7 linked regions of the Callithrix jacchus genome follow. The protein of the gene in region 7 purifies or fractionates together with the protein of the main gene of each other region. This does not show direct contact. Links are inferred from orthologs where the notes say so. Each region holds a gene or a part of one and is shown on either strand. Other genes may lie near its edges. The genes, in order: EIF3B, EIF4G1, EIF4B, PRRC2B, DDX3X, EIF4E and EIF3F.

Evidence for each region.
Region 1: the proteins of EIF3F (region 7) and EIF3B purify together in Homo sapiens (affinity purification with mass spectrometry; 14 studies listed by BioGRID and IntAct, counting the BioPlex papers as one, with this or other methods). This does not show direct contact. The link is inferred for Callithrix jacchus from reciprocal best matches to the Homo sapiens genes EIF3F and EIF3B.
Region 2: the proteins of EIF3F (region 7) and EIF4G1 purify together in Homo sapiens (affinity purification with mass spectrometry; 3 studies listed by BioGRID, with this or other methods). This does not show direct contact. The link is inferred for Callithrix jacchus from reciprocal best matches to the Homo sapiens genes EIF3F and EIF4G1.
Region 3: the proteins of EIF3F (region 7) and EIF4B purify together in Homo sapiens (affinity purification with mass spectrometry; 3 studies listed by BioGRID). This does not show direct contact. The link is inferred for Callithrix jacchus from reciprocal best matches to the Homo sapiens genes EIF3F and EIF4B.
Region 4: the proteins of EIF3F (region 7) and PRRC2B purify together in Homo sapiens (affinity purification with mass spectrometry; 3 studies listed by BioGRID and IntAct, counting the BioPlex papers as one, with this or other methods). This does not show direct contact. The link is inferred for Callithrix jacchus from reciprocal best matches to the Homo sapiens genes EIF3F and PRRC2B.
Region 5: the proteins of EIF3F (region 7) and DDX3X purify together in Homo sapiens (affinity purification with mass spectrometry; 3 studies listed by BioGRID and IntAct, with this or other methods). This does not show direct contact. The link is inferred for Callithrix jacchus from reciprocal best matches to the Homo sapiens genes EIF3F and DDX3X.
Region 6: the proteins of EIF3F (region 7) and EIF4E purify together in Homo sapiens (affinity purification with mass spectrometry; 3 studies listed by BioGRID and IntAct, with this or other methods). This does not show direct contact. The link is inferred for Callithrix jacchus from reciprocal best matches to the Homo sapiens genes EIF3F and EIF4E.

What each region holds. Positions count from the first base shown.
Region 1 is NC_133503.1:56,669,556-56,673,721, forward strand, and holds part of EIF3B (eukaryotic translation initiation factor 3 subunit B), read right to left. Parts: intron 3,070-4,166; coding exon 2,991-3,069; intron 2,183-2,990; coding exon 2,044-2,182; intron 787-2,043; coding exon 661-786; intron 156-660; coding exon 78-155; intron 1-77.
Region 2 is NC_133516.1:13,295,360-13,299,525, forward strand, and holds part of EIF4G1 (eukaryotic translation initiation factor 4 gamma 1), read left to right. Parts: intron 1-208; coding exon 209-385; intron 386-590; coding exon 591-690; intron 691-2,678; coding exon 2,679-2,791; intron 2,792-3,367; exon of another isoform or gene 3,368-3,480; intron 3,481-3,601; coding exon 3,602-3,694; intron 3,695-3,898; coding exon 3,899-3,965; intron 3,966-4,166.
Region 3 is NC_133510.1:66,526,001-66,530,166, forward strand, and holds part of EIF4B (eukaryotic translation initiation factor 4B), read right to left. Parts: intron 2,460-4,166; coding exon 2,246-2,459; intron 1,508-2,245; coding exon 1,452-1,507; intron 717-1,451; coding exon 602-716; intron 307-601; coding exon 234-306; intron 1-233. UniProt on the Homo sapiens protein: Required for the binding of mRNA to ribosomes. Functions in close association with EIF4-F and EIF4-A. Binds near the 5'-terminal cap of mRNA in presence of EIF-4F and ATP.
Region 4 is NC_133502.1:180,101,839-180,105,428, forward strand, and holds part of PRRC2B (protein PRRC2B), read left to right. Parts: intron 1-1,778; coding exon 1,779-1,860; intron 1,861-3,089; coding exon 3,090-3,224; 3' UTR 3,225-3,590.
Region 5 is NC_133524.1:42,179,672-42,183,837, reverse strand, and holds part of DDX3X (ATP-dependent RNA helicase DDX3X), read right to left. Parts: intron 3,301-4,166; coding exon 3,168-3,300; intron 2,281-3,167; coding exon 2,122-2,280; intron 2,039-2,121; coding exon 1,939-2,038; intron 1,563-1,938; coding exon 1,427-1,562; intron 772-1,426; coding exon 686-771; intron 558-685; coding exon 459-557; intron 336-458; coding exon 175-335; intron 1-174. UniProt on the Homo sapiens protein: Multifunctional ATP-dependent RNA helicase. The ATPase activity can be stimulated by various ribo-and deoxynucleic acids indicative for a relaxed substrate specificity.
Region 6 is NC_133504.1:98,583,076-98,587,241, reverse strand, and holds the end of EIF4E (eukaryotic translation initiation factor 4E), read right to left. Parts: intron 1,990-4,166; coding exon 1,875-1,989; 3' UTR 153-1,874; downstream 1-152. UniProt on the Homo sapiens protein: Acts in the cytoplasm to initiate and regulate protein synthesis and is required in the nucleus for export of a subset of mRNAs from the nucleus to the cytoplasm which promotes processes such as RNA capping, processing and splicing.
Region 7 is NC_133511.1:73,845,019-73,849,666, forward strand, and holds the start of EIF3F (eukaryotic translation initiation factor 3 subunit F), read left to right. Parts: upstream 1-1,467; 5' UTR 1,468-1,483; coding exon 1,484-1,865; intron 1,866-4,648. UniProt on the Homo sapiens protein: Component of the eukaryotic translation initiation factor 3 (eIF-3) complex, which is required for several steps in the initiation of protein synthesis.

The sequences.
Region 1 (4,166 bases), on a different chromosome or scaffold from region 7:
AAGCCCTGACGTGAGCCTGCCTTTGCTGTGATGGTGGATGTCGCAACATGGCTCTCCCTTCAGGGAACAAGGCTCACCTTTGAGGCTTTGGACTGGCTCAAACGATCTTTCTGTTCAAAGATCTTAGAGTATTTCTTCAGATCCTTTTTAATTTGCTGAAACAAAAGACTACTGTCACTCAGGATTTAACATTCAAAGCAAGAAGCACAAACGCAATCTTCAAAGTTGCCGACATGAAGTGACATCCAGAGTCATTAACAGAACACTGTGCCCCAGGTGTGCTCGCACCTGCTCTCTTCCATGTTTCATGTTGAGACTGACTTTCTTCCTGGGATTTAACCCTCTTCTTCGTTCTGACTTAATACCATCGGCCTATTTTACCATCATTATGTAAATCCCAGACAAGTCGCTTTCTAATCCCACCAGGACTTTTTAATAGCCCCTGCCATCTTTTTATCCACCCCTCGGGTTCATGTAAAACTTCCCTCAACAAGCTGAAGACCTCGGTTAACTATCCTAAAGCTGTTCTATTCCGTTCAGTTTTCACTGTTCCCTCATCTCTTCAAAGGGCCTACCCCCCAGTCACCACCCTAACCACTTTTCCTTTCAATGCCATAATCACCTCCACATGCCCTGCACCTGAGGGTGGGGGATACTTACCTTGATCTGCTCCTGGCTCAGGAGTGTTGGAGGCCGGGGCCGCCACAGCAGCTGGCAGAAGCGGTCCTTGTTGTTCTTCTGCAGGAGGCGTCCCTGGAAAGTCCACAGCCAGTACGCGTTGTCCACCTAGGGCAGGGACACACCAGGACATAAACGGGTCAGCAGAGCCACAACAGTGACTATGTCACTTGCTGAACAAGGTCCTGGATATCGGGGACACATGTGAACCAAACAAAGCTCTACCTTTGCTGAGCTGACATTCAGCAGGGGAGGTGGTCAGTAAATTAAAGACACAAAATATGTAATCAACCCAGAGTGCAGGGCACACAGTAGCTGGAGCAGCGCTCATCACAGCACAGGCCTACGCGTTCCTGCTGGCAACAAGAACCCTGTGCCAGATGTAAGCTAACTGCATCACCACACACCGCTCGGTTCCACTCTCTTCATAGCAGGACTCTCTCATGAAGGACGTCGCCTTCACTGGCACCCAGGATAAACTCCCTATGACATGCTGGCATTGTGGGAGCTAAATGTTTATACCTCAAGCAGAGTGGTCAATAGCTTAGAAGGTCTTTTCTTTTAATGGGGTTAGGGTTTCACTATGTTGCTCAGGCTAGTCTCAAACTCCTGGGCTAAAGTGATTCTTCTGCCTCTGCCTCCTAAAGTGGTGGGATTCCAAGTGTGAGCCACTGTGCCTGCCCTAAAGTGGCGTCAAGGTAGGCCCCACCACAGTGACTTATGAACATACCTGGACCCAGGCCGTGATCAACACACCCTGATTTAAATGTGAAGATTTCTAAGTGTAGACACTTGTTGTAATATTTGATAAGCTGGTATTCCTAAAAGTTCAGTATCTCATTCAATAAAATTACCCTAATTTGATTGAATTTGATCTCATAGACAGACTCTGTTTGCATGGACAGTTCAAGCGTCAGTACCTCCACCAACTTTCAAAAAATCACTAAATACAAGAAGTCCTTGGCAAACTTAATCAGCAGTTTTCGAATAAGAGCTTGTGGGTAAGGTGGCAGCTAGACTCAACCACTGACTCCAAAGAGAAGATCTTCATGTCTGAGGTTATGGAACTGTTCAGGCTTTAAAGAAAATGACTCCTCTCCGAAGAAAAACACTCGTGCATGACACACTCACACTCCCTTTCAGGGGTCCCTGGGTAAGACACCCCCACCATGAGCAGGGGCAGCTCCCGCCACCTCTTCTACAACCCAGAATCCTCCTCCTCCTGCCACAAACACCAGCTGAGGATTCTGTTAAACACCAAGGCTTGGTGCCCCTCCCTGAGGTCCCAGGACAGCACCAGAGTCAGCAGCCAGCCAGCACTCCCTGCTTCTATCCACAGCCAAAGCTATGCCCTCGGGCCTGCACCTTATGGCTCCACCAGGACACAGAAGTGACGACATAGCGCCCAGTAGGATCCCACTCAACATCAGAGGCCATGTAGTGCTCTGCGATGTTCATGACCGTGCAGTCCGAAGTATCCACAAACGCTAAGGCACCATTCATACTGCAGAGACAAAAAGGACTGTCAGGTTCACAGAGACGCATACTTCCCGACATCCCACTCCTGAGAGGCACTGCATGGGGTCCCCAGGGAGCCAGCCTTGGCGTCAACATGGAAACAAGCAACAGCCTCTGGCGGCCACTGTGAGACTTACAAATCACAGCTTTCAGAGTGTGCAATGAGTATTACACATGTCTGCCATCACTATTATTTTCACAGGAAATGTTATCTGAGGCTAACTAAGCCTCCAAAATTACAGTAGCAAGTGTCAACAATGAAGCAAGGAAGAGCAGTGACAAAAGGATATTCTTTTAACTCAGAGCAGAAAGCTGGAAGCTTCTCCACAATTCTGACACACTGCTGGAATGCAGCTAAGACCCATACCGTGACACCAACCACAGAGGTAAGGCAGCCTCACAGCTGTGTAACTAATACCCTCCTGCTAGAAGAGAGGTGACTGACCTCCTGGGGTGGGGGCAGGGGGGTAAATGGATTGCTGGAAGGCACTTGTTTAACCACAAAAGAACGACAACCCACAGACTGGTCAGCCTGTCACTTCACAAAAGCATCTACGAGTGCTTATTTCCATCTGCCCTGGCTTGGCCTTAGTCTTCGAGTGTCATGGATCCGCAAAGGTTCAATAATGTCCCATCCATTGACATGGGGGTAAATCCTTTCAGTGTGCAACACTCCCTCTACCAAGAAGTGGGAGGAGGAGCCAGAGTGCAGGGTGCAGGTGCCTGAGGGGTCTTCACCGCAGCAGGCAGAGCACTACTCACGAGGCAGACAGGCTCAGCGCGCGGACACCCACCTCCTCAGGCCCGCCAATACCACAAACTGTCCTTGGGGGCTCCAGAAGATGGTGTTTGCTTGCTGCTTGTCGAACATCTCTGCAAGGAAACAGAGTGCCTGTCACGAGCTGTGAGCGCTTCCACCCCAGGATGAAGTAACGAACCAAGGGCAGTCAAGGCTGGGGGGGCTTGGCCGTGGGTCACACTACCCACATGAGCACAGCTGGGAATGCCCGGCCACCTCGGAAAACAATTTTACAAAATCCATCGCTAAGTTCCCCTTAAGTCATAATCCATACTTTAAATGGGGGGGGGGGGGGGAAGAAGGGGCACGGGTATTTCAAAGCAACACTATTTTCCTATTTCCTGAAGTAAATGGACAAAGAATTCCCTTTACAGCAAACGTTCACTGCTGTAGGGACCCCAACGGGGAGAGGATGTCAGAGACGTGTGACCCTGGAAGACCAAAGCCACTTTCCTAGCGATAAGACATCTTTGGAGAAGTTGTATGCTTGTTGAAACTGTCTACAGTCATCATCTTTCCAGGTACTAAGTCTTACTTCCGGAAACGACCTCGGGCGGAGCTGCGGCAGCAGTGAGAAGTGAAAGTCAGCCGGGGTGGGCTCAAGTCCCCCCTCAGAGCTTGCTCAGACAGAGCTGATGACCTGCGACCTCTCTCTCCTTAGCCTCTGCGGTACATCCAAAAAAGAAGCTGGGGCAGGATATGGAGGGGAGGAGATGTGGGAAGGCAGACACACCCCAGGAGGGGCAGGGGTCTCAGACGTGCACCAACAAAAAACCCCAGCAGTCACAGGCACGGGATAGAACCCACACAGTGGCCACAGAGTCTATGCCAAACCTCAGGAGAGGCGTGTCATACGTGTTTGGAAGGTACATGGTACTTCTGCTTGCCGTCTTATGACTTAGAAAACTGATACAAGCCTCTGTCTGGACAGTCTGCAACTGCCTGTACGTTTCCACCAATGGGAATTAATGATACAGACCATCTTGCGATCTACTGCCAACTGAGAGCACCACGCACCTGCCAAACTCCAGCAAAGTGAAAACAAAACTAAACTCCTCACAGAATCATGTTGTGAAAGGTGAGGCCAGGAGATTCCAACCCTTTACAGGTACACGGCCAAACCCATGGCTCTGCAGGTGGGCATAAGGCAACCAGTCCTTTGTGGGAGGAA
Region 2 (4,166 bases), on a different chromosome or scaffold from region 7:
GCAGAATGCAAAGTACATCTGAATTTGGAGGGCGTGTGTGCGTACGAGAAGCCGCTTAGCCATTTAGTCAAGTGGTCTTGGAAGGATTTGTCTCCACGTTCTGAAGCCCACAGTGCTTCTTTCCAGGCCATAGAGACACTGTGGAGTGGCTGTTTTCTGTCCGTTTCCTCCTCTTTACAATGCCAACTGCTTTCCTCCCTCCTGACAGCACTTCTACCCTAGCCGGGCCCAGCCCCCGAGCAGTGCAGCCTCCCGAGTGCAGAGTGCAGCCCCTGCCCGCCCTGGCCCTGCTGCCCATGTGTACCCTGCTGGATCCCAAGTAATGATGATCCCTTCCCAGATCTCCTACCCAGCCTCCCAGGGGGCCTACTACATCCCTGGACAGGTGAGGCTGGAGGCTTGGAGGCTGGAAGACACAGACCCTCACTTCCCTTACCCTGACCCTCCAGTTCCATCCCTTTTCCAGATGTGGGACTTCCTTCTGGTCATTGCCCAAAGTTGGCTTGTCTTGTCTTGACCTATGTTATTTTTTGGAGTCTGATATGGTACTCATAGCTCCCTCCACTCCTTCTCTCCCCCTCCCTGACCAGGGGCGTTCCACGTATGTTGTCCCGACACAGCAGTACCCTGTGCAGCCAGGAGCCCCAGGCTTCTATCCAGGTGCAAGCCCGACAGAATTTGGGACCTACGGTAAGCAGGGGAGGGAGTAAGAGGTGAGAACCAGTCCAAGGGAGCATCTAACCTCATCTACTGTTTCTAAAGCAGAAGCCCCTTCCTAGGCTTGGCTTTTGGTGTAAAAATGATAAGATTAATAGGTGGTAGGAATTGGTGCTTAATATTTAACTGGTGTTGATTGTGGGGAGAAAATTTGATTCTGTTGCCGAGAGAGTTAAAGTCTTCCCCACAGGGAATGCAGGACCGGGCGCTGGCCTCAGGGCTGTTGGTGGGCTCTTCCTGTGACACTACTTCCGCGGGTGACAGCCCATGTACCGCAGATTTGGGGGGTTTTTGTAGCTACCTTTTATTTACATTCTAGGAAAGGATTAGTCTGTTCTTTATGGCAGTGGCTTCCAAGTTTTTTGATCACCTATCAGGAAAAATTTTGAGTATGAATGTCTCATACATGTATGTTTTTGTTTATATGTATGCAAAATATAAACAAAGCACTCTGCTTGTCAAAGTGGAACTGAGGGATGAAATTGAAGAATGCATTCTGGCTGGGCGAGGGATCTTGCCTGTAATCCTAGCACTTTGGGAGGCAGGAGGGTTGCTTGAGGCCAGGAGTTCGAGATCAGTCTGGGAAACAGTGAGACCCTGTCTCTATTTTAAAATTTAAGGCGGGGGCCGGGTATGCTGGTTCAAACCTGTAATCCCAGCACTCTGGGAGGCCGAGGTGGGCAGATCATTTGAGGTCAGGAGTTTGAGACCAGCCTGGCCAACATTGTGAAACCCCGTCTCTACTAAATTTTACGATTTTTTTTTTTTTTTGAGACAGAGTCTTGCTCTGTCACTCAGACTGGAGTGTAGTGGCACAGGTGTGTGCCACCCCACCCAGCTAATTTTTTGTATTTTTAGTAGAGCCAGGGTTTCACCATGTTGACCAGGCTGGCTTCAAGTGATCTGCCCGCCTAAGCCTCCTAAAGTGTTAGGATTACAGGTGTGAGTCACCACGCCCAGCCCCTGTCTCTACTAAATATAAAAATTAGCTGGGTGTGGTGGTGCACTCCTTTAATCCCAGTTATTCAGGAGGCTGACACAAGAGAATCTCTTGAACCCAGGAGATGGAGGCTGCAGTGAGCCAAGACTGTGCCACTGTATTCCAGCCTTAAAAATTTTTTTGGCTAGGCTAGGTGGCTCTCACCTATAATCCCGTCACTTTAGGAGGCCAAGGTGAGTGGATTGCCTGAGCTCAGGAGTTCGAGACCAGCTTGGGCAACATGGTGAAACCCCGTCTCTACTAAAATGCAAAAAATTAGCCAGGTGTGGTGGTGGGCACCTGTAGTCCCTGCTACTCGGGAGGCTGAGGCAGGAGAATTGCAGGAACATGGGAAGTGGAGGTTGCAGTGAGCTGAGATCATGCCGCTGGTCTCCACCCTAGCGACAGAGTGAGACTCTGTCTCAAAAAAAAATTTTTTTTAAGGAAAAAAAAAGACGCACCCCACTTAAGAGATAATTTGCTTTAAGGAATTAATTTTTCTTCATCCCGAGCCTAGTTCATAATGTTACCTTGTTTCTTTGCTCCTTTTTAAAGGGCTGGAGACAGGAACTAGACTGAAGTTGAGTGGAACAGGGTTGGCACATCTCTTTCATTCCCAGCCAAAGACCTGCTTCTGTTTCAGGTTCAGAGTGTGTGTACAACACACCAGAGTACCTCGTACGGTAGAAGGACAGACATAAATCCTCCTGGTTGCTGGCATGTGGTGGGGAAAGAGTGCCTGCCTGCAAGGGGGGTGTGTGTGTATGTATGTGTGTCAGTGTTAGGAATTCTTGTAAATGCAGTTTAGACTGGTTCCCCAGCTTTGACAGACACCTAATTCCCTGGAGGAGGAGGGCAGGGCAGGGCCAGGGGCCGGCTGTGGGTGATGAGAGGTTCTGGGGTTGGAGGTGTTCAAGCAGGCATTAGTGTATGCTTGGGTCCTGACGCTACCTCCATTCTTCTCTGTTCCCCCTCCCCCAAGCTGGCGCCTATTATCCAGCCCAAGGGGTGCAGCAGTTTCCCACTGGTGTGGCCCCCGCCCCAGTTTTGATGAACCAGCCACCCCAGATTGCTCCCAAGAGGGAGCGGAAGACGGTGAGTAGCAGCAAGGGGCTCTGGGACATCTGGGAAGGGGAAAATCAAGGTCAGGTGCTACTGGGACATTTGCACAGTGACTTGAGGAGGAAGGACCTGGGAGTGGGCCGAGAATGGGGTCTGGAGTGCTCGGGTTCTTTTGATTGAGATTCTAAGATTTCACCATAGAAGCAGGTCATGGGAAGACTGAAGTTGCTAGTGAGGAAGTTCCTGTGAGACCTGGGTGCTGGGGGTTGGAAGAAGTATGCTTGGTTTTGGGTTTCTGGTGGCTTGCCTTGGAAATGGTTTGTTTTCTGTGGCCCCAGCCCCCACCCACCCTAGTCCTGGAAGCTCTCAAGGCCTCCGCCTCTGCTCAGTCCTCAAGCCCTGGGCGTGGTGCCCAGAATAGGGTGCCAGAGCTGGGGAAGCCGCTGAGTCACCCTGGCTCCACCTACTGGATCTGGGCCCTGCCCCCAGAGATCAGGCACACTAGCTACAAGTGAGCCGATTGGGTGCTAGGTGGGGGTCCTGGGCCCCAGGGCATGCAGCCTCTGACTTGGGGACTGCCAGTGGGGTAGGGATGAGGGAGGGAGGGGCATTGTGATGTTCAGGGCTGCTCTGTGAGGTCAAGAGTCTCTGAAGGGTGGGAGCCAGGTCAGGGACTACAAGAGCAGCCAGATGGGCTGAAAGTGGAACTCAGGGGCTTTCTGGTATCCACCCACCTGCTTCCCAGTGGGGGCTGGGGAGTTGGCCTAGAGTCTTAAGTGTGGGGCAGGGTGGAGAGGTGGGCTCCCCCTGCTTCCCACTCATCCCATAGCTTTCTTTCCCCAGATCCGAATTCGAGATCCAAACCAAGGAGGAAAGGATATCACGGAGGAGATCATGTCTGGGGCCCGCACTGCCTCCACCCCCACCCCTCCCCAGGTACTGTCTGCTTTCTGAGCGATACCCTGGCTGGGATGTCTGTTCTGCCCTGGACTCCCAAGTCCCTTGATCTTTTCTTTCAACTAAGGGATTGATTTCCCTGCTTTCCTGGATTTCTAGGCAGAGCTAAAGTAGAAATGGCTCTGGTAAAGAAGGGTTTTGGGACTCTTCAGTGCAAACTTGGTAACCCTTTGTGTCCTGCAGACGGGAGGCGGTCTGGAGCCTCAAGCTAATGGGGAGACGCCCCAGGTTGCTGTCATTGTCCGGCCAGGTAAGTAAGAGGGTGGGACGGAGCTTTTATGTGGAAAAGGAATGTTGACAGTTTAAATGCTGGGGTGGTTGAGTGTCTTGAACTGGGTACCAGAGAAGAATGACTTAGATTTCAGGTTGTGGAATTTTGAGGGTGAATTGGATTTTGGATGAAAATGGAAGTATAGCTTAGGTGGGAAAAGATGATGGGGGGGGTGTCAAG
Region 3 (4,166 bases), on a different chromosome or scaffold from region 7:
GCTAGGGAAAGAGGATCAGAGGCAAATGTGATCTCACTGTAGTCTCACACCACCTCTATACCTTGCAGAAGGATGAGAACAGAGGAAGGCAGAAACCAGAAAAAGGCTAAACTTTTTTCACTATTTCCGATAAAGACCAATGCCTTATTTCCAACCACTTTGTATTTCCAAATGTAAATAAGTCCAATGGCAAAAAGTATTCTAAGAAATTGGGAGCAGCCTTTAATACTTACGGAAGCTGGATTTTCCTCAGGTTTCTTTGGCTCAGGTGCAGATCTGGAGTCTTGATCCTTTTTGCCATCTTTCCTGCAGAGACATAAGCATAAAACCACGTCTTTAGGAGAAGACTCGCCTAATACAAACATGTATTACAAGCATGCAGTTTCAAGGCACTCAACAGGCATCTCTAGTCAATAGTCCTCGTTATCTAGATGATGTATTACTTCTAGATTCTCAGAAGCTTAACTGTCTAGGCTGGCTGACTCCAGTTTGCTCACAATGAGAGATCTGGCAGTGCTTTGAGAACCAAGAACTTAACTTCTTAATTACAAAAGCATGTGGGTCAGAGGAAGGATGATAATGAGAACGAGAACACACATACCGATCTGACTCCTTCCAGTGGTCTTTGTTCACTCCGTCTCCTGGACCACGGCTGGAGTTCCCAGTTTGGCCTTTCGGGACATTCATCCCATCTATTTTATTTTCATCTGCTAGAGCAGTAATGCAAAAAATAAAAGGCAAGTAAAATGATCAACGTCCCTCTCCTAAGATTTCTCTTAAGCTGAAGAAAACTGCCTGCAAGTACTGAGGGAAACTACCTTGGCCCCATTCCAGACTTCCTTCCTGAAGCCCTTCTTCCCACGTCCTCTATAGCACATAAAACTACAAAAACCAAACAAAATCAACTAAAAAGTTCCATGCAGGGATATGCCATCCTGAAAAGCAGGCTGGAAATAAAGACTGTGACGCTCGGCAGTGACCTTGGCTCTGCTGATGGTGACATTTCTAATCTGGACTGAATGTCTTAGTTTCCGATTTTTTTCTCCTCCTTTCAAGGAAATGTTCTACCAGGAAAGGGCACTTTCTCCAAAGAGGCCACTACTCCCTCTACCACTGCAACCTCCGCCTCCCAGATTCAAGCAATTCTCCTGCCTCAGCCTCCCGAGTAGCTGGGAGTGTGCCACCATATTCGGCTAAATTTTTGTATTTTTAGTAGAGATGGGGTATTTGCCATGTTGGCCAAGCTGGTCTCGAATTGCTGACCTCAGGTGATCCTCCCACCTCGGCCTCCCAAAGTGCTGGAATTACAGGTGTGAGCCACCACACCCAGCCAACCCCAGAACTTTTAACACAGTATCAGGTGCAAGACACATGCTCTTCAAAATCTAATTTTAGAGGCCTTTTTATTAGGCCTCTAGGTGAAAAACCCATTTCCCACACTATGAGCTCACCTTTCCTGGCTGGTCCTTCCTCAGATGGTTGAGCTGGAGCCACTTTGCCCCCACCACTAGAAGGAAAACACAAAATCACATTCATCAGTTGTTTCAGGAAGAAGGAAGTCAAGAAACTTATAATCATCCTCCAAATGCAGTAAGCTTTACAGAAAACAAAATCATACTCAATGTTATGAACATTAAAATATGGGAAAGAAAACAATGAAAGCAGTAATTTAAACACTAAATGCCATATGCGTTCTAGTCATCACATCATGCAGGATTAGTATTGCTATTTTCTTTTTTTGAGACGGAGACTCACTCTTGTTGCCCAGGCTGGAGTGCAATGGCGCATCTCGGCTCTCTGCAACCTCTGCCTCCGAGGTTGAAGCGATTCTCCCTGCCTCAGCCTTCCAAGCAGCTGGGATTACAGGTGCCTGCCACCATACCCGGCTAATAGTATTGCTATTTTCTTTACAAATGAGACTTAGAGAAATTAAGGCAAGTTACCCCCTACCACACTGCCAAGATGTGGCAAAAGGGAAGCCTCTGACTTGATCTGGGTGGCATTAGTACTCCCATCATAGCTGAATTCAAGCTACCAAAGTGATGTCAACTGCCTATCAAAACTCCAGAAAATGGAACATGTGGGTCTTAAGACATGCCAGTTCCGGCACACTAAGAGAACAAATCCAGCATAACTTATACGATGCTATATAATGCTGGTATCCTGTTAAGGCATCTTCCATCATTACATCACATTATTTAAGAATGTGCACAGCTAACCAACTACTGCTTCCAAGCTGACTCACCTTGTAGGGGATTGCTGCTCTGTGTCTGAGCTCTGAGATCGAGCAGGAGGGTTAGAACTTCGCTTCACCCAAGCATTCTCCTTTGGTGGAGGGGCTGGCATTACCTTTAGGGGCTGATCAGGTTTGGGAGGTTTAGAAGTTGGAGAGTGACAATCTTCCTCCTTACTGAGTGTTTCATTTTCTAGAGACTTCTCACTCTCTCTCCTTCGTGCATCTGTGAAGCCAGAGTGAAAAGAACAAATTATCAGGATGCAGATGCTCATGCATCTACCAGAATCTCAACAGTGTGGAAAACGGTGCACATCAGTTTTGGCTCGCAAAGACGGATTTATCCCTAAACCAGTGGTTTCCAAATATTTCCGAGAACAAGGTTTACTGATGCACAGAGAAATAGGAAAAATAATAACCATGTATACATCTTAAGGGATACCCAGCCATTTGACCTTTTGAGGAATGAGTATCTTTTACAGCCTGTCTGCATTCTCAATGTTAAAAGTGTCTTGATGTGGAGAATATACATATACAAAGAGGACCTATGATGAAACCCCAAATTCTAGTAACCATCGCTCAACTTCAACTTAAAACTCATCACAATAGACAATGATACAATTGCATTTATGAAAAACCACCTACTGGCTGGGTGCAGTGGCTCACACCTGTAATCTTAGGACACTGGGAGGCCAACTTGGGGTGGATTGTTTGAGCCTAGGAGTTTCAGACCAGCCTGGACAACATGGTGAAACCCCAGATTCAAAATAAATAGAAAAATTAGCTGGGTAGTCCCAGCTACTAGGGAAGATGAGGTGAGCTGTGATCATGTCGCTGCACTCCAACCTGGTTGATAGTGTGAGACCCCATTTCAAAAAAACAAAACAAAACAAAAAACAACCTACACTTTTTTTTTTTTTAAGGCAATAAGTATCTTCTTAAAACGAGAAGCCTCCTTTTAGAGTCTGAAGCGGGACTGCTTGAGGCCAGGAGTTTGAGACCAGCCTGGGCAATGTAGCAAGACCCCATCTCTACAAAAATTAAAAAAATTTAGCCAGGCATGGTGGCATACACCTGTCATAACAGCTACTTAGGATGCTGGGGCAAGGGAACTGCTTTAGGCCAGGAGTTCAAGGCTGCAGTGAGCTATGATGATACCACTGCACTCCAGCCTGGGTGTAAGATCCTGTTTTAAAAATAAAAAACTAGAAGGTTGTTTCATCAGATTCTATCTTTTTTTTTTTTTTTTTTGAGATGGAGTCTTGCTCTGTTGCCCAGGCTGGACTGCCGTGGCACAATCTTGGCAGGTTCAAGCGATTTTCCTGCCTCAGCCTCTTGAGTAGCAGGATTACAGGCGGCTGCCACCACACCCAGCTAATTTTTGTATTTTTAGTAGAGATGGGGTTTCCCCACGTTGGTCAAGCCGGTCTCGAACTCCTGACCTTGTGATCCATCCGCCTTGACCTCCCAAAGTGCTGGGATTATAGGCATAAGCCATCCCACCCAACCTTCTTTCTACATTTTACACGTAAGTTCTACAGAAATAGGTATATATCAACTCAAAAAAAGTATATATTATACTTTTACTTTGCCACAAAAAGGGGCATAAAAACATGTTAGTAATTTCCAGAAAACTCCTACAACACCTGAGTGAATTTCCAAATCACTTCAGTCTTGAGCTATGTTTTGAAATGCTCAAGTACATGGCTGGGTGTGGTGGCTCATTCCTATTATCCTACCACTTTGGGAGGCTGAGGCGGATCACTTGAGCCCAGGAGTTCGAGACCGGTCTGGATAACAGTCAGACCTCATCTTTATTTAAACAAACAAACAAACAAACAAACAAAAAACCACGCAAGTACAAATCAGTTTAGAGGAGGAAAGACCTTAAAAAAACATCACAGTGACCAGCCTGGGCAACATGGGGAAACTA
Region 4 (3,590 bases), on a different chromosome or scaffold from region 7:
CCACAGGGCTGCATCCCAGCAAGGGGAGGAGCATGGCCTTTCCCGGTGTCTCTTTCCCCAGACTTGCCCTCTGACCTCTGCCAGGGGACTTTTATTACTGGGCTTGTGGGGTCATTCCTTCCACACTACAAACCAGCACCCGCTTTTTGCTTCCTTCGTATCTGTCTCCACCCCCGGTAACCATCCCAGGTCCCCTAAGCGGGATACAGAGGTGGCTCTGTCAGATTCGGGCAAGAGCATCTGGTCCCTCTGCTCCCCCTGTGCAGGTGTGAAGGCAGCACGCTCTGGCCCTGTGCTCCAAGGGTTTGTATAGTCAGTCGACCCTTGTTACATGTGGGAGATTACTGAGACTGCTTTGTGTTTGCAAAATGAGTGAAACAGACGTGCCTGACGCATGGTACCCTGTGAGAGGTTAACACCCTTACTGCATGCGCCATGAGGTGACCCCATGAATACAAAGGTACTTGCGGGCCTGAGGAGTGCTCTGCAAGCCAGGCCTCTGTGCTTGCGAGTTGCTCTGGCTGCACCCCTCTGCTCCGCTGCCCTTTGCCTGTCAGGCCGCCGCCTCCATCACGGCATTCCACTCTTATTCCTCCATTTCCAGAGAAAGGGGTTTTTGTGGATTTTCCTCCCATTCCATCTTTTCTATTCTTATTTTCACTCTCCTGGCTTCATTTATTTCTGTATTTAGTATTTGTTTTCCTGCCATGTCTTTCACATAGACCAAAACATCAGGACTGTGTGAAAAAGATAGCTGGACAGCAGCACCCACCCCGGAGCAGAGCTGGGAGGAGGAAGGCGGCCGCAGGTCTGAGCACATGCTGTCCTGCTGCTGCCACAGGCAGATCCCAGCAGCCTCTGGCTACAGAGCCTTCCTCAAAGGCAAAACCCAGAGAACAGAAGCTCATGGGACAAGAGTTGCCTGTGTCTATGTAGACATAGGAAAGGCAGCAGATTATTCCTTGGAGAATACTTAGAAAGTAGAAGCCTTAACTGTTAGCTTTGTTTCAGTGGTGTTTAGGAGGGTTGGGGAAATTGCTATAATTGTAATGTTTCCCAAAGGTTTCTGGAACTAGAGCTGCTGAGATGTGCCCTGCAAAAAAAAGTTCCTTGGTCAGGTCCTCGGGGGTGTGCTGTCTCTGGGGCGGCCTACCGGGAGAGGCACTCGCCAGCACAGAGGCTGAGCAGGCCTGGGTGGGCAGTCCTGTTGAACTCTGTGCCTATGGCACTTAGGCTTTTTGACGGCAGAATTTTTTTCCCACACAACCCCTAATTAACATCCCTGGGAACTAACTAGTGGTCAGTGGAACACATTTAGAAGCATGTCATAGATTTTTATTCCTCCACGCCCTCTTCTGAAAAGCGAAGACTAGAGCAATAGCACGGTTCCGTCTCAGTGTCAGGCTTCTAGGCCTTTTGTCTGGGGCACTGCGCTGTGTTGGTCCAGAGGCTGAGATGGCCAGTGTCCCTTTCTGCCTAGCAGGACAGCCGTGCCCACCTGCACAGGGACTCAGCCTCCCTCTCTTGTGGTGTGTCTCCTTGAGCTCTGTCCTGGAGGTGCCGCGGTGGTCAGTGACAGCCACTCCCTTGCCCTGCTGCATTCTTGGCTGTCTTAGGTCTGTGGTTTTTTTCCCCATCAAGAGGCCCATAGACTGTCCAGAGAGAGCACCTCTGGCCCAGGCCCTTCCTTCCTCACGCCTCCTCCATGTGCTAGTCTTTGACTCCATTTCTGTGGTGACACGTTGTGTATTCTCAACCCCTGCCTTTGGTTTTTTCAGGCCTAGCTCTGCTAGCCCCAGTGGGAAGCCCTCTGGATCAGCAGTTAACATGGGCTCTGTGCAGGGACACTACGTGCAACAGGTAGAAGATGGCTTTCCAGACCCTTCAGCCCTGGACATTTAGGCCCGTCTCCAAGCACCAAAAGAGAAGGGACTGTCCAACCTATCTGAGTGCTCCTTGTCTAAAGAGAGCCATGTCCTAGCAGTTAGAGCACGGAACTAGGAGCTGGGCCACCCGCGTCCCTCCTGGCGAAGGCATTTCTCCTCTTGACGGGCGTCTGGATCCTTCCTTGTCCTGCAGAGAAGGGAGGATGCCGATTCCTCTGAGGAGGTGACGCTGGAAGGTGGACCAGCCCTGGCAGGTCGGGGCTGTGAGGCGCCCTGGGAGACTCGGCTAGGTTTGGGGGTCAGCTCTAGGAGCTGGGGTGCGCAAGTCAGTGGTGTGTCTTGTCTTTGTCTTGGCTGGGTGGGATCACAGGTGAAATTAAGTTTTCCCATTTGATAATGAAAAGTACATTTCAGTGTCTTTCCCTGCAGGCACTATTCTCTTCACTAATCTCTAAAATGTGCTGGGGCTCAGAGCTTAGGCCCCTCAGACCTGGGTGTTTCAGTTACTGTGCCTGGCTGGTAGAGTGGGAAGTGATTGCTCGCATTGGTTCCCCTGGGGGTCATGAGAATTGTGTGGAATAAGCTTCTAAAGCTTTCTTCCAGAGTTCAGACTTGGAGGGGGCAGATGTGCTGGCTGCTCTGTGACTTTCCCATCCCACCCCCATATAGAGCCACAGACCAGGGGAGCCTTGACTGGGAATGGGGCCCCAGGGCAAGGTTATAGAGTGGGAGTTGTGGCTGAATTGAGGCCAAAGATCTGGGGCAGGGGGGCAAGTTTGCCTAGGGCCATAGCAGACAGGGCCCCCAAGGTGTACAGTGGGGCACTTGGATCTACTCGAAAGGGCTTTTTGCTTGTGGGGCAGGAGGTGCACTGATTTGAAAAGGTTCTTCCAGTTGGCCTTGGGACTAGAACTGCTTCCGCCCTGGGTGTGCCATCGCGGAATTCCTTGTGGAGGACTCGGTGTCTTCCTGCCTCTCCGAATCACTGCACTCGGGGCTCATAGGGAGGGATCAGGGACGGCAGTTGCGCCACTTGCCTTACTACGAGGGGGATTTGTAAGTCTGGTCCTTCAACCAAGGGATGGATGACTTAGGGGAGCTTTCCCTGCACTCAGGAGCAGGAAGGGAGTGGTGGGAGCTATGTATCCAAACGGACGTTTCAGCATCAGGGTCACTTTGTTTTTCCCGTTGATCTGTCCAAAGGCAAAACAACGAGTGGATGAGAAACCCAGCCTGGGAGCCGTGAAGCTGCAGGAGGCCCCCTCAGCTGCCTCCCAGATGAAGCGAACCGGAGCGATCAAGCCTCGGGCTGTCAAAGTGGAGGAGAGTAAGGCCTGACGGTGCCTGGCTGCCACCTCGCCTCGCCCCACTGGGGACGGTGCCGCCACGCGACCTTGACACAGCTGACGCTCGGGAGCCTCACCAGATCCACCGTCCAAACGCCTGGTCTGGACTGAGAGACCTCCCTCCTCTCTCCACTCCCGAAAGCTCTGTCATCAACCAGCTTGCACCTGTGGATATATGGCATTGACCCGCTTGCTTTGATTATGAAACAAAAAAGCAAATGACTCCTTCATCCCATCTCCTTCCACCGTGACCGTGGAGTGACTCGCCTCCCGTGCAGTGCAGATCCGCCCTCCCTGCTCCTCCCTGTCCTGCCGCGCAGCCAGGGCACCTTCTCAGCAGTGCTTCCGGCCCACCAGC
Region 5 (4,166 bases), on a different chromosome or scaffold from region 7:
TGAGACAGGAGAACTGCTTGAACCCGGGAGGCAGAGCTTGCAGTGGGCGGAGATCATTACTATTGCACTCCTGCCTGGGCAACAACAGCGAAATGGCATCTCAAAAAAAAAAAAAAAAAAAAAAAAACAAAAAAAACCCCACCACCATCTCAAAGAAACAAACAAAAAACATACTTGCAAAAGTCTAATCCAATCTTTCCTCTTTCCATCATATCCACCAGACGTCCTGGAGTGGCTACTAACAAGTGGCATCCACGTTCCAAGTCTCGAATCTGCTGTCCAATATCAGCACCACCATAAACCACGCAAGGACGAACTCTAGATCGGTATGAAAACTGTAAGCAAAAAAATGTTATGAACTTCAAAGTCAAAATTTTTACACTATCATTTTTACATGATCATAAAACATTTAATTAGAATCAATGAAAAAGCTAGTAACCACTGAAACTCATACTTACTTTTCTGGCTTCCTCGTAGATCTGTACTGCCAACTCTCTCGTTGGTGCTAATACCAAGGAGATTGGGTATTGTTTGCGGCGCCCATACCTTCCATTTTCCTAAGAAATGAGTTAATTTTTAGGTTAACTCCACCTATACTTTTGTAATTTACAGATTACACTTGAAAACTGTTTTTCATTAGACTGAAGTTCTACAATAATTTCCCATTTTATAAAGAAATGTCTACCTTCATGGCCCTCAAAGCCTCGCCTGGACCATCTGAATAAATCTGACTCAAGATGGGCAAGAGAAATGCTGCAGTTTTTCCAGACCCTGTTCAAAAACAAACAAAACAAACCCTGCTCATTACTTTTGAACAGACATTGGTAGATGAGTGTCCCCTGGCCCTTTTTTGAGATGGAGTCTTGCTCTATCGCCCAGACTGGATGGAGTGCGGTGGTGCGATCTTATTAGCTCACTACAACCTCCACCTCCCAGGTTCAAACAATTTTCCTGCCTCAGCCTCTCACCATCATGCCCGCGTAATTTTTGTATTTTCAGTAAAGACAGGGTTTCACCATGTTGGCCAAGCTGGTGTTGAACTCCTGACCTTGTGATTCACCAGCCTCAGCCTCCGAAGTGCTGGGATTACTAGCATAAGCCACTGTGCCCTGCCCATGACAGTGTTTAACTGCCTTATTACTAGTAATTAGGACTTTTAGTTTATGCTCAAATTAAGTTTTCCAAAAAGTGGCTTCTTTGGTCCATCTATAAGACAAGTCAGCAAACAGACTATTTTTGTAAATAAAGCTCTTAAGGAATACAGCCATATCCAATAATTTACGTATCATCTATGGCTTCTTTCACACTCCAATAGCAGTGCTTGAGCAGTTACAAAACCACATGGCCCATAAAAACCAAAATATTTTATTATCTAGTCCTTTATAGAACAAATATGATAATGTTTACTCTTATCGGCTGAGCTTACCTGTTTGGGCACAAGCCATCAAGTCTCTTTTCTCTTTGATAATAGGAATAGCATGCTTTTGCACTGGAGTTGGGCGAGTGTAACGAGTAAGCTCAATGTTTCCCATGATAATTTCTCCCATCTCAACATCACTGAACTGTTAAGAAATTCAATGGGGTTAGAAATGCTATCTAGAGCCATTTTTTGTTTTATGATAATAGAAATAACCAACTAACAGCTAATTTGTAACTCAGTTTATAGTTGCTTTAAGTAAAATTATCATATTATACTTTGAGAAAAATGAATCCCCAGGCTTTACACTGGAGAAGACTGTGGGTTCTTCCTGTGTTTGACCCATTTTCTATTTCAGGTAATAAATTATTTCTAACGGTGACACTGAACTCACTCCTTTTCCACAAACCTATGAAGCCTTTGGTCTACATATGACTTTATGAAGCCCATCTCACATTCTAATGTACCATGAAAACATTTACATCTCCCCGTGTCTTAAAAAGTCAAGCAAAAATACTTACACTTTCAATATGGGGAGGACAGTTGTTGCCTGTTGCCTCAACTGGAATGTCATCGTATTTCTCAAAATTAATCCCAGTGTTGCCTCCAGAAAAGAGTTCCCTCAAATCAAAAGATTGGTAAATTCATTTGTTATACTAGCTAATAAAGCTTCATCACAAGTAACATACATTTCAAAAACTTACTGTTCCAAGCGTTCACTTGGTGGGAGTGGTTTTGACCAATCATCTTCATCTGATTTGTCACACCAGCGACTGTTTCCACCACGTTCAAATTTGCCAAAGCCACTTCTGTCACCACGGCTGCCAATGCCATCATAATCACTCCGTCCACGATCATCAAATCTGAACAGCACAAGTGAATAATCAGAATCACATCATTTAACCATTATCAGATTTCTACCCCTGCTCTAGAACTGTATCTGGAGACTTAAGTTATGGCTAACTACAAAGATGTCAACAAGCCAATTCTGAGTTATTTGACAAATAAGGGTCTCTAACCAATACCATTTACTGATATTTCTAAAATCATTTCTAAAATTAGTAACCTTTATATCTCTATAAAGTTGTATAGCCTAAAAGGTCTCATAGATGCCACAATTAAGAATCAACGACGTTTTTGGGTTAATTCCTTCACTTCACAGGTTAAAAAAAAAAAAAAAAAGGATCAAGGTTTTATCTGAAATGGGCACACAGCTCACAACCTTCATTTAAAGTGCTCATTCAAATATATTTAGTGGTGGGGAAAAGAAAATAATACACCAAATATCAATCATCCTAGTTATACTAAAGGACAATTCACCTGTGTGACAGATTTTGGATAAAAGGTAGAAAATAATCCTTACTTGAACTAAGATGTTTTTAGAATTTTAGGCCTGTTTGCGAAAAATCAGGACACAGGACTAACCACAGCTATTAGGCACGTGGGGTCAGTTCACCATACTTGCATAATAAAAAAATCCAAGGTGTTTAAAATTGTTATAGAGTCCACAAAAATCCCAACCAAATTAGGCCATTCACTAGATGTACTAAGTAGAACATATAAAACTCGAGAAATAAAAAAAAAAAAAAATTGATTACACATTATGCCAATGACCATATTCCAATTTTCATCTAATTCAACTTAACAGGTTCAATGTAGCAAAAGCCTCTCACATCCAAATAGGTGGTCAGAATAAGAACTTATTAAACTGTTACTCTACACACCTATAAGGTGAGAAGAAATCACTTACCTTCCCCTTGATCCACTTCCACGATCACTGAAGAAGCTAGACTTCCCTCTTGAATCACTGCGAGATCCAAAACTGCTATATGCATCCTTATCTTTGCTAGAACTCCACCCTGAACTGTCTTTATCGTAGAAACCTTCAATTAAAAAAACACAAATCCATTTTATTAATGAGAAATAGGAACCATGTTAAGGTATTATCAATCTTTCTGAATTTGAAGGCCTCCACTGACTATCTTATCTCTGTGGGCTTGAGGTTCAATCTCAAGGTATTCCTACCATGGCACTGTAAGAGAACCAAGATTTAGAGCTGGTTTTCTTGTCACCAAGATAATGTTTTTAATTACTGTCCACTGGCCAGGCAGTGGCTCACACCTGTTAATTCCAGCACTTTGGGAGGCTGAGGTGGGTGGATCACCTGAGGTCGGGAGTTTGAGACCAGCCTGACCAACAAGGAGAAACCCCATCTCTACTAAAAATACTAAATTAGGCAGGCGTGGTGGTGCATGCCTATAATCCCAGCTACTCGGGAAGCTGAGTCAGGAGAATTGCTTGAACCCGGGAGGTAGAGGTCATGGTGCACAGAGATTGCACCACTGCACTCCAGCCTGGGCAAAGAGTGAAACTCCGTCTCAAAAAAAAAAAAAAAAAAAAAGAAAAAGAAAATCCTGTACACTAAATCAAGCAATCTGACAGTCTAAGAATGTTTTTGAATGAATACCACCTCTAAGCGGTCAATAGCTTTGCCTTTAACACATTGATTATGATATTGTAATACAACCATCACGATTTAATTTTATAGGTGTGAATTAGTTTACAAGGAAACCATTACCACCGTATTTCTTAGAGGTGGCATTCATTTAGAACATTCTTAGACTGTCAAGTTACTTAATATTAATATTTTTTCATTTCAATAGCATAAAGTACAAGAATACTACTGTCAAATGGTACTATTATTTTAGTGGTTCATCTGTTATAAGCTTGATGACAATCAGGAATACCT
Region 6 (4,166 bases), on a different chromosome or scaffold from region 7:
CATATATTATGTACTGCATGCTGAGATTATAATAAAAACAAAAGATTCAGTATTTTCAGAATACTGAACAAGAGGTGTTTGTGGCATTGAGAGAGTACTGTAATAACCTGTGGTACCCCTTAAACTATTTTAAAATTCTACAATGAAATCAGTGCTATTAATTTCATGTTTATTTCATACATGGTTTTTGTCAAGTTTATCAGTTTTAAAATGATTAAGTCATAGTCACCATTCAAAGACAAATTTTCTTCTCAAACTAGTAATTTCCATTCGGCTACCTAGAGCTTGGCTTATCCTTTGGTCTGATAGCCATACTTCATTTCACAGCACTATACAAGTATGTACTATGTACAAAATATTTTCAAGTTTGTTTTCAAATGATACCTACAAATAGTAGATCAAGTTTTCGAGTTTACAGAATACCATACTACAACAATTTATCACTATAAATGGCTTAATACCTGTTTATTCCATTCGATTTAGATTGCAACACCAACAAAATTCTTAATGCATACATCCCCACCACCTGTCTTTTCCCTATACTATCATTTTGAAACTTACATACAAACAACTCAATTCACTAATCAAATGGTGATGCGTCAGATCCCAATTCTCATGAGTATTAACATATTAAGAGAGTACATTATTTACCTAAGACTGAAGGACTGTGCCTTACTTTATAAAAAAAACAAAGATAGCCACATCAATTTAATTCCATATATATGATACTACCTATTCAATTTATTAAAAATTGTAATAAACATAATAATCAAACTAGTGCTCCAAACTTATACTATTCACATGGAAGACACCACAAAAGACACAATATAGAGACTGCCTTGCAATAAGAAGTACAAATTCCTTCTATAGAGATGGAGAAATAAAAGGACAAATCTAGTTGTCTAAAAGACAATTCACTGTACACATTTTATTTACAGTTTTTTACACTGTCTTAATATGAATAGGACTGCTTTTCTACTTGAGCCATTTTTAACCAAAGCAAAATAACCTAAGTAATACAAAGTGTTAAAATACAGCATAAAGATACAAAAACAGACATACTAATTCTAGTTAGGAATGTAATTATGATGTTACATTTTTTATAATCCACAATTATGTTTAGGAAATCACACAAACATAGATCACTGATTTGAATGAAATGCATAAATTTGTAGCAAAGCTTTGTAGTTACAAAAAAAACAAAAAAATTACCAAAGAATGCACAAAATTAATGTTTATTCCACCTTTGTGTCATATTCCTGGATCCTTCACCAATATTACATGAGGAAAAAAACAAAAGCAAAACAAATGAAAAACTGAAATCAGAATCACTAATATTATCAAGTAGGGAAACAAATAAATTAAAATCTAGCAGCCATCAGCAAGAGTACAGCAAAGACAATGCTGTAAAAAGAAACAAAGAAAATTGCTAGAAAACTGTATGCATCATAATCTTTCAAAACAGCAAAATATGCTCCTGCATACAATAGAACATCAACAGAATTTTTTTCCTGTAAAGTAGAGAAATGTCAAGTTGTTTTTTGAATATTGTGGATAGGTAAAATGTATGTAATTAATGGTAATTCTACTGAACTATTACAGAGTGGGCCAGGAACACATTTATGGATTCTGGGGATGTGTACTGTAAATCTTTGATTGGGATAGTGGACACTCTAGCCAAAAAATATATATATATATATGAACACAGAAGTACAAGACAAAGGCAAATGAGACTTCTCTTATATCTCAGCAACATTTAGATGGAAATCAAATTTAAATGCAGTCCACTCTGCTTTTGGAAGAGGCTTTGGTTCAGCTCCCAAATCTCGATTGCTTGACGCAGTCTCCTATGAGAATACTCAGAAGGTGTCTTCTTAAACAACAAACCTATTTTTAGTGGTGGAGCCGCTCTTAGTAGCTGTGTCTGCATGGGACTGATAACCAATCACTATCTTTGGAGGAAGTCCTAACCTTTCCTTGTATACCCTCCTAGAAGAAAAAAAAAAAAGTAGCCATTAATTTTTATTCACAAGTAAATAAATTTAAAAATTTAGTGTTATTAGTCTTTATATTATAAAATACAGACTTGAGAGTACAACAGGAAATTAGCATAATTTACTCTTTTAGCATAATTTACTCTTCCATTTTTGCAATATTCCTGGTTAATTACATTATTTATGGATTTTTGCTCGTTACCCAGACTGGAGTGCAATGGCGCAGTCTCGGCTCACTACAACCTCTACCTCCCAGTTTCAAGCGATTCAGCCTCCCGAGTACCTGGAATTACAGGCACCCACCACCACACCCAGCCCACTAAAAATGCAATATTTTTTTAGAACATATTGCATAGATTAGAAATTATGCAATAGTTAGAAATTATGTTCTAAATTAATCTATTTAATTTAGAACTTGACAATCTAATTTTCAAGTAAGACGTGACTCATGCACACGTTTCCAAGAACAAAATGGCACTTGTCACAAGTGCCAAAGAGTAAATATAGGGGCTGTGATACTGTATAACAAGGAGATTCTAATCTCATCTACAAAATTAGAGAAGTCACCCCTTTAAATATCATGAGGTCAAAAGGATAATGTTAAGAGAATGAGCACATCTGAGAGCTGAGAAATAAAAATTAGACTGTGTGGCTATGGCTCATAAGTAAAGTGAATATGAGATAAGGCTGACAAGTTTTCAGAGGAAGAGAGCTTCATATGTCACCTTAAAAATTTGAATCTTTAAGAAAATAATAAGGCTGGCCCAGTGGCTCATACCTATAATCCCAGCACTTTGGGAAGCCAAGGCAGGTGGATCACAAGGTCAGGAGATCAAGATGGTGAAACCCCAACTCTACTAAAAACAAAAACTTATCTGGGTGTAGTGGCATGCGCCTGTAGTCCCAGCTACTTGGGAGGCTGAGGCAGGAGAATCACTTGAACCCAGGAGGCAGACGTTGCAGTGAGCTGAGATCGTGCCACTGCACTCCAGTCTGGGCAACAGAGTGAGACTCTGTCTCAAAAAAAAAAAAGGAGGGAAGGAATATAGCAAAAATTCAAAAATAAGCAATATCAAATACAAATAAAGGAATAGCCAGGCGTGGTGGCTCACACCTGTAATCCCAGCACTTTGGGAGGCGGAGGCGGGCAGATTAGCTGAGGTCAGGAGTTCAAGACCACCCTGACCAACATATCTCTACTAAAAATACAAAATTAGCTGGGCATGTTGGTGCATGCCTATAATCCCAGCTACTCTGGAGGCTGCGGCAAACTTGAACTCGGTAGGTGGAGGTCGTAGTGAGCCTAGATTGCGTCACTGCACTCCAGCCTGGACATCAAGAATGAAACTCTGTCTCAATCAATCAATCACGGAACAAACATACTAATGGAGTTAAATCCTCCAACACAATACTAAGATAGTTTTTTCATACCTTCCAAAAGATTTACCACCTTCCCCCTAAAATAAAGTATTAAAAAGAAATTTTATGGTAAAGTGATAATTATTAAATTTGCATTACAATGCAATGCATTCCTTTGAATTATACTTAATTATTGAAAACACCAGAAAGCAAGACTAACGCAAATTGGAAGGGTTAAAAAAAGAATCTTTCTTTGAAAATCTGAAGTCTTAATATAGACTCAAAAGCATTTAATATTGACAAAAATACAAAACTTCCATAGAAAAAAAATTATTAATTTCTCTAATTCTTGTTTAAAATAAAGTAAAACCTCCACAATTGGGTTTTGATGCTGGCAGAAACATTAAAATATGATGACAGATCAACTCCTTTCTCTTAGTGAACCCTATACAGCATGAAATGTAGAAAATCCCTATACCTTTTGATCTAGAAATAAATTATGTTCACAGAAAAATACATGGCTGAGAGCGGTGGATCACGCTTGAAATCCCAGCAATTTGGGAGGCTGAGACAGGCAGATCACTTGAGGCCAGGAGTTCAACACCAGCTTGGCCAACACAGCAAAACCCTTGTCTCTACAAAAAATGCTGTCATGGCTCAGGCCTGTGATCCCAGCTATTGAGGAGGCTGAGACAAGAGAGTCACTTAAACCCAAGTGGGGGACGTTGCAATGAGCTGAGATCGTGCTACTGCACTCCAACCTGGGCAACAGAGTGTAACTGTCTCAAAAAATTAATTTTAAAAAGAAAAATT
Region 7 (4,648 bases):
GGCCATTCTCTCACACCAGATTCCTAGTTTCTGTGCCCACCCTACCCTCAGTCCCCCACTGGCGTTGCTCTACTAGGATTGCTACAGACTCCAGGTCATCAAATCCAAGAGTTACTTTTCAATCTCCTTCTGATTGGCTGTTCACCTGTGTTTTGGGGAACTAAAAGAAAGAATGCATGTCTATGTAGAGCATTTTCAGGGGAGCAGGATCATGTGAATTCTAATAATGGAAGATTTCTCCAAGGAGAAATCAACTCTTGGGCATAGAATCACGGCTAAGAAGTTCAACTTCACCTATCTACTTGCTAGCTGGATGCTAGGACTTGACCCAATTAAGGGAGTTGATGGGTTTTTGTTTTGTTTTTACAGGCAGATGTTATCAGCCCCATTATACCAAGAAGGAAATTGAGGCTAGGAAAAAAACTTGTAGATTGTCGCTAGTTACACAGTGGGTTAGGGTCAGAGCTCCCTCCTTCACATAGTGATGATAATCGCTATGACCTAATAACTACTGTACATCAGGTATGTGCTAAAAGCTTGACAAGGCAGTACCTCATATAATCTCCCAAAGTACAAACTAGTGTATACAGCTTACAACTCTACTTGAATGTCTAATGGATATCTCAAAGGTGACATATCCAGAAATGAAATCAGGATCTTTTCCCCAAAACCTGTTCCACCTACAGCTTTTGCTCTCAATTGATGGTGACGTCATCCTACTAATCGCTCAGTACAAAAAAAAATTGCAGTCCTCCTTGACTCCTCTCTTTGACACCTCACATACAATTTTTCAGGAAACCCTATTGTCATTACCTTCAAAACAGATCCATAATCTTCCTGCTTCTCAGAACTTCTATTGCTACCAGCCTGGTCCCAGCCATCATCATCTCTCACTTGGATTACCTAGTGGCCTCCCAGCCGGTCTCCCTGCTTTTCCCTTTCTCACCTTCCTCTTCCTAACTCCCCCCACTCCCCAGACTATTCTCAAAGCAGCCGGAGAAATACAGCTAAGTTCTCCTTCTTGCTCATTGCAGCCTCAAGCTCCTGGGCTCAAACAATCGTTCTGCCTCGGTCTCCCAAAGTGCTGGGATTACAGGGGTGAGCCACCGCGCCCGGCCTTAAAATGCTTTTTTTTAAGGCACTTTGATTTCCATGATCTAAGTCTAAAACACGAATTTCCACCACCGCGCTGCTGTCTGGTTCCACCTGGCGGCGGCTGCACAAAGTGTTTCTCTTTGAACGCCGTGCCAAGTTTACCCGGAACTACTTAGCCCAGCTCTCCCTGAGTGCTCCTCGGGCCAAAAGCAAACAGCACAAATTCCGGAAGAAATTACCAACAGCGGGACCATTTAGCGCTCCGGCTGTAACACCAGTAACCAATAAACAAAAAGCTCTAGTTCACGTGGTGTATAGTCAGCCTATCAAGCTCCTGATATTCCTGAATGCCCTCGTTTCCGCTCCTGTCGCATTCTTTCTCGACAAGATGGCCACGCCGGCGGTATCACCAAGTGCTCCTCCTGCCACGCCAGCTCCGGCCCCGGTGGCGGCCCCAGTCTCGGCCCCAACCTCAGTTCCAGCCCCAGCGCCAACGCCAGCACAAGCTGCGGCTCCGCCTTCCGCTGGGACTCCAGCCTCATCCTCAGACTCTGCGGCAGCAGCGGCTACGACTGCGGCTCCTGGCCAGACTTCGGCCTCAGCGCAAGCTCCGGCGCAGACCCCAGCGCCCGCTCTGCCCGGTCCGGCTCTCCCAGGGCCCTTCCCCGGCGGCCGCGTGGTCAGGCTGCACCCAGTCATTTTGGCCTCCATTGTGGACAGCTACGAGCGACGCAACGAGGGTGCTGCCCGAGTTATCGGGACCCTGCTGGGTGAGTGGTCATAGAAAGTTAACATTCTTTACTTTCTCCCACTTCTCATTTATCTCACTTCCCTATCTCATTAATTCTTTCATTCTTGGCGTTCTTTCCTCCCATCCCCAGTGACCTCTTAATCTATTTTTCTGTTTTGTCTTCTGCTGTGACTTCTCAAGTGATTTGCTCCTCTCCTCTCTCTTCTCTCTTCTCTCTCCTGCCGGATTGCTGTCACTTTGAGTGACGTAAAATAACAAAGAGTAATTGTGTCATTTGCTGAATATTTTATGCCAGTGGTTTACATTTTTGAATGTTCCCCACAGCAGGTTATGGCAAGTATGATGAGCCCCATCTGCCAAAAATGAGTGCACATGCTGAGTGGGAAGTCAGGAACCCTTGACTCCCTAAATCCAGTGACCACGTATTTCTGCTTTATCCACCGACTAAATGTCATTGTTTTCCAAGTATTGACAGAGTTTTCTAACCAATTGGCAAAGGAGTGGGGACATTTGCAAAAAGGCATTCCTCCCAGCAAGTAAACCGGTTTGGCTGGAACCCATTTGGGATTTTATAGTATTCTGCTGTCCTAAACTTTTGAGCCTGATTCTCTGATTCTCAGCATACCTTAATATTAGTACCTAATGTGAGAAACCCTGTTCTCCCATTTTCCATTTGGACACAAACTATTGTATTATCTGTTTATATCTCTGCCCTTAATTTTCAGGTCAAAGAATAACCCATTCTCTGCTTGTGTTCCAAATTTGGGGAATAGATACTCTGTATTAAAGTAGTTTGTAAAATGAAAAAGCACGAAAGAGGGATTGTTGATAATTCCTCTCTGGAGACTATACTGATCCCATGAAATCCATCTCCATTCCATGTTAGTTCCAGATTTTTTATTTATTTTTTAGTAGAGACAGGGTTTCTGCGTGTTGGTCAGGCTAGTCTCAAACTCCCAACCTCAGGTGATCTGCCTGCCTCGGCTTCCCAGGGTGCTGGGATTACAGGTGTGAGCCACTGCACCTGGCCAGTTCCAGATTTTAAATAGCTTTGTGAATCCACTTTACTTACAAGCATCCTTTCTCTTTCATACTCTTGAACATGTACTGGTTCTTACACCATAAAAGACAATTGATATATTGCAAAGCAGACAAGATGTGTAAGCAGACTCCACACAATTTTAGCCATGTGACTTGACGCAAATTACCTAAAATCTGTTCTGTCAGGATCTACTTTAGACTTAGTCTTCGTGAGAACTAAATTAAAAACTTCTGACTATGCTGGTACACATTAGGTACAGCTATTAGTTGCCATTCACCACATCAGGCCTGGACCGACCCAATACATGCCAAAACACATTTTCTCTCCTTTATCTATTTTTGACAGTATAGCATTTTACAGAAACTTAAATTCATATCTTCTGAACGTTGCCTGTCTTTTCTCAAACCAAGCCTTTGTGTTCTCTTTGCCACAGGTGCCTTCCTTGCTGTCCCTCATTTATTTAACTTCTGCCTATCTCCCAGGTTCCCAGGAACAGCATTAAGTGCCAGTCCTCCATCCCATACCTGGACCCTCACTCCATTCTTAACCTTCCACAGCATGATGGTGTTCTGTAACTGCGCCCTGCTTTGAGCTTCTGTAATAAATTGTTTTTCCTCACTGACCTGGCACTCAGCAAATACTTACTCTTTTGGTTACACTGTCTCATTTTCCAAGCTCACTAGAGCTATTTAAAGAGACAGTTCGCTACCCACAGTTTATACTTTAGCACCCCAAATGTTCCAGTGATCCAATCAGACCAGCTGTAATCTAATCTAGAGCTTCAGATCTTCTTTCAGACTGGAATCATGGTACAGTGCTATAGGTGTTATAGGGGCAGTGCTTCCAGAAGAATAAAGAATAGATTCTGCTTGCTATAAACTAAGAGTTTCCTTAGATATTAATTCACAAAACATTTTATTTGTCTAAATGAAGTCATTGGTGCTTTTTTTGTACCATAAAACTGTTAGGTATTTAGAATTCAAAGTGTAGTAAGGTAAGCTCTCCTGTAACCTTAAACTCAAGATAGAAATATACTCTTAAATGCAAATAACTAGAATGTAATATAATAAATGTTCTAATAGAAGGGTGTCATGGTGGCATGGAACTACGGAAGACTTAACTATTTCAGAAGGTTAGGGAAAAGTTCACAAAAAAGATGGTGTTTGAGCTGGGCATTAAAGCAACTACAGGAAGTTAAAAAGGCCTGATAAGCCCACTATCTGAAACATTCAGTATTACAGGAATGTAGGTGACAGGAGGTAGAGCAGGAAATGAAGCTAGCAGAGGGCAGAGCCCTAAGAAGTATTGAATAATTACAAGTGTAAAGTGCTGTGAAGGAGAATTACCTGGGTCTCTGAGAAGACAAAATGGAAGTGTAACCTCATTTGATGCTCTTTGGGGAGGATCCTGAGCATTTCAGCTAACACTGAATAGAAATTAGAAATCACTCTGACTTTGGGAGGCTGAGGCGGGCAGATTGCCTGAGCTCAGGAGTTCGAGACCAGCCTAGGCAACATGGTGAAACCCTGTCTCTACTAAAATACAAAAAAGAAAAAGCCAGGCGTGGTGGTGTGCACCTGTAGTCCCAGCTCTTGGGGAGGCTGAAGCAGAAGAATTGCAAGAACCTGGGAGGGAGGTTGCAGTGAGCTGAGATTGCACCACTGCCCTCCAGCCTGGGCAACAGAGCGAGACTCCGTCTCAAAAAAAAAAAAAGTCACTCTGGCTGCTTTGTAGAGCATGGATAAGAGACAGGCATGAGC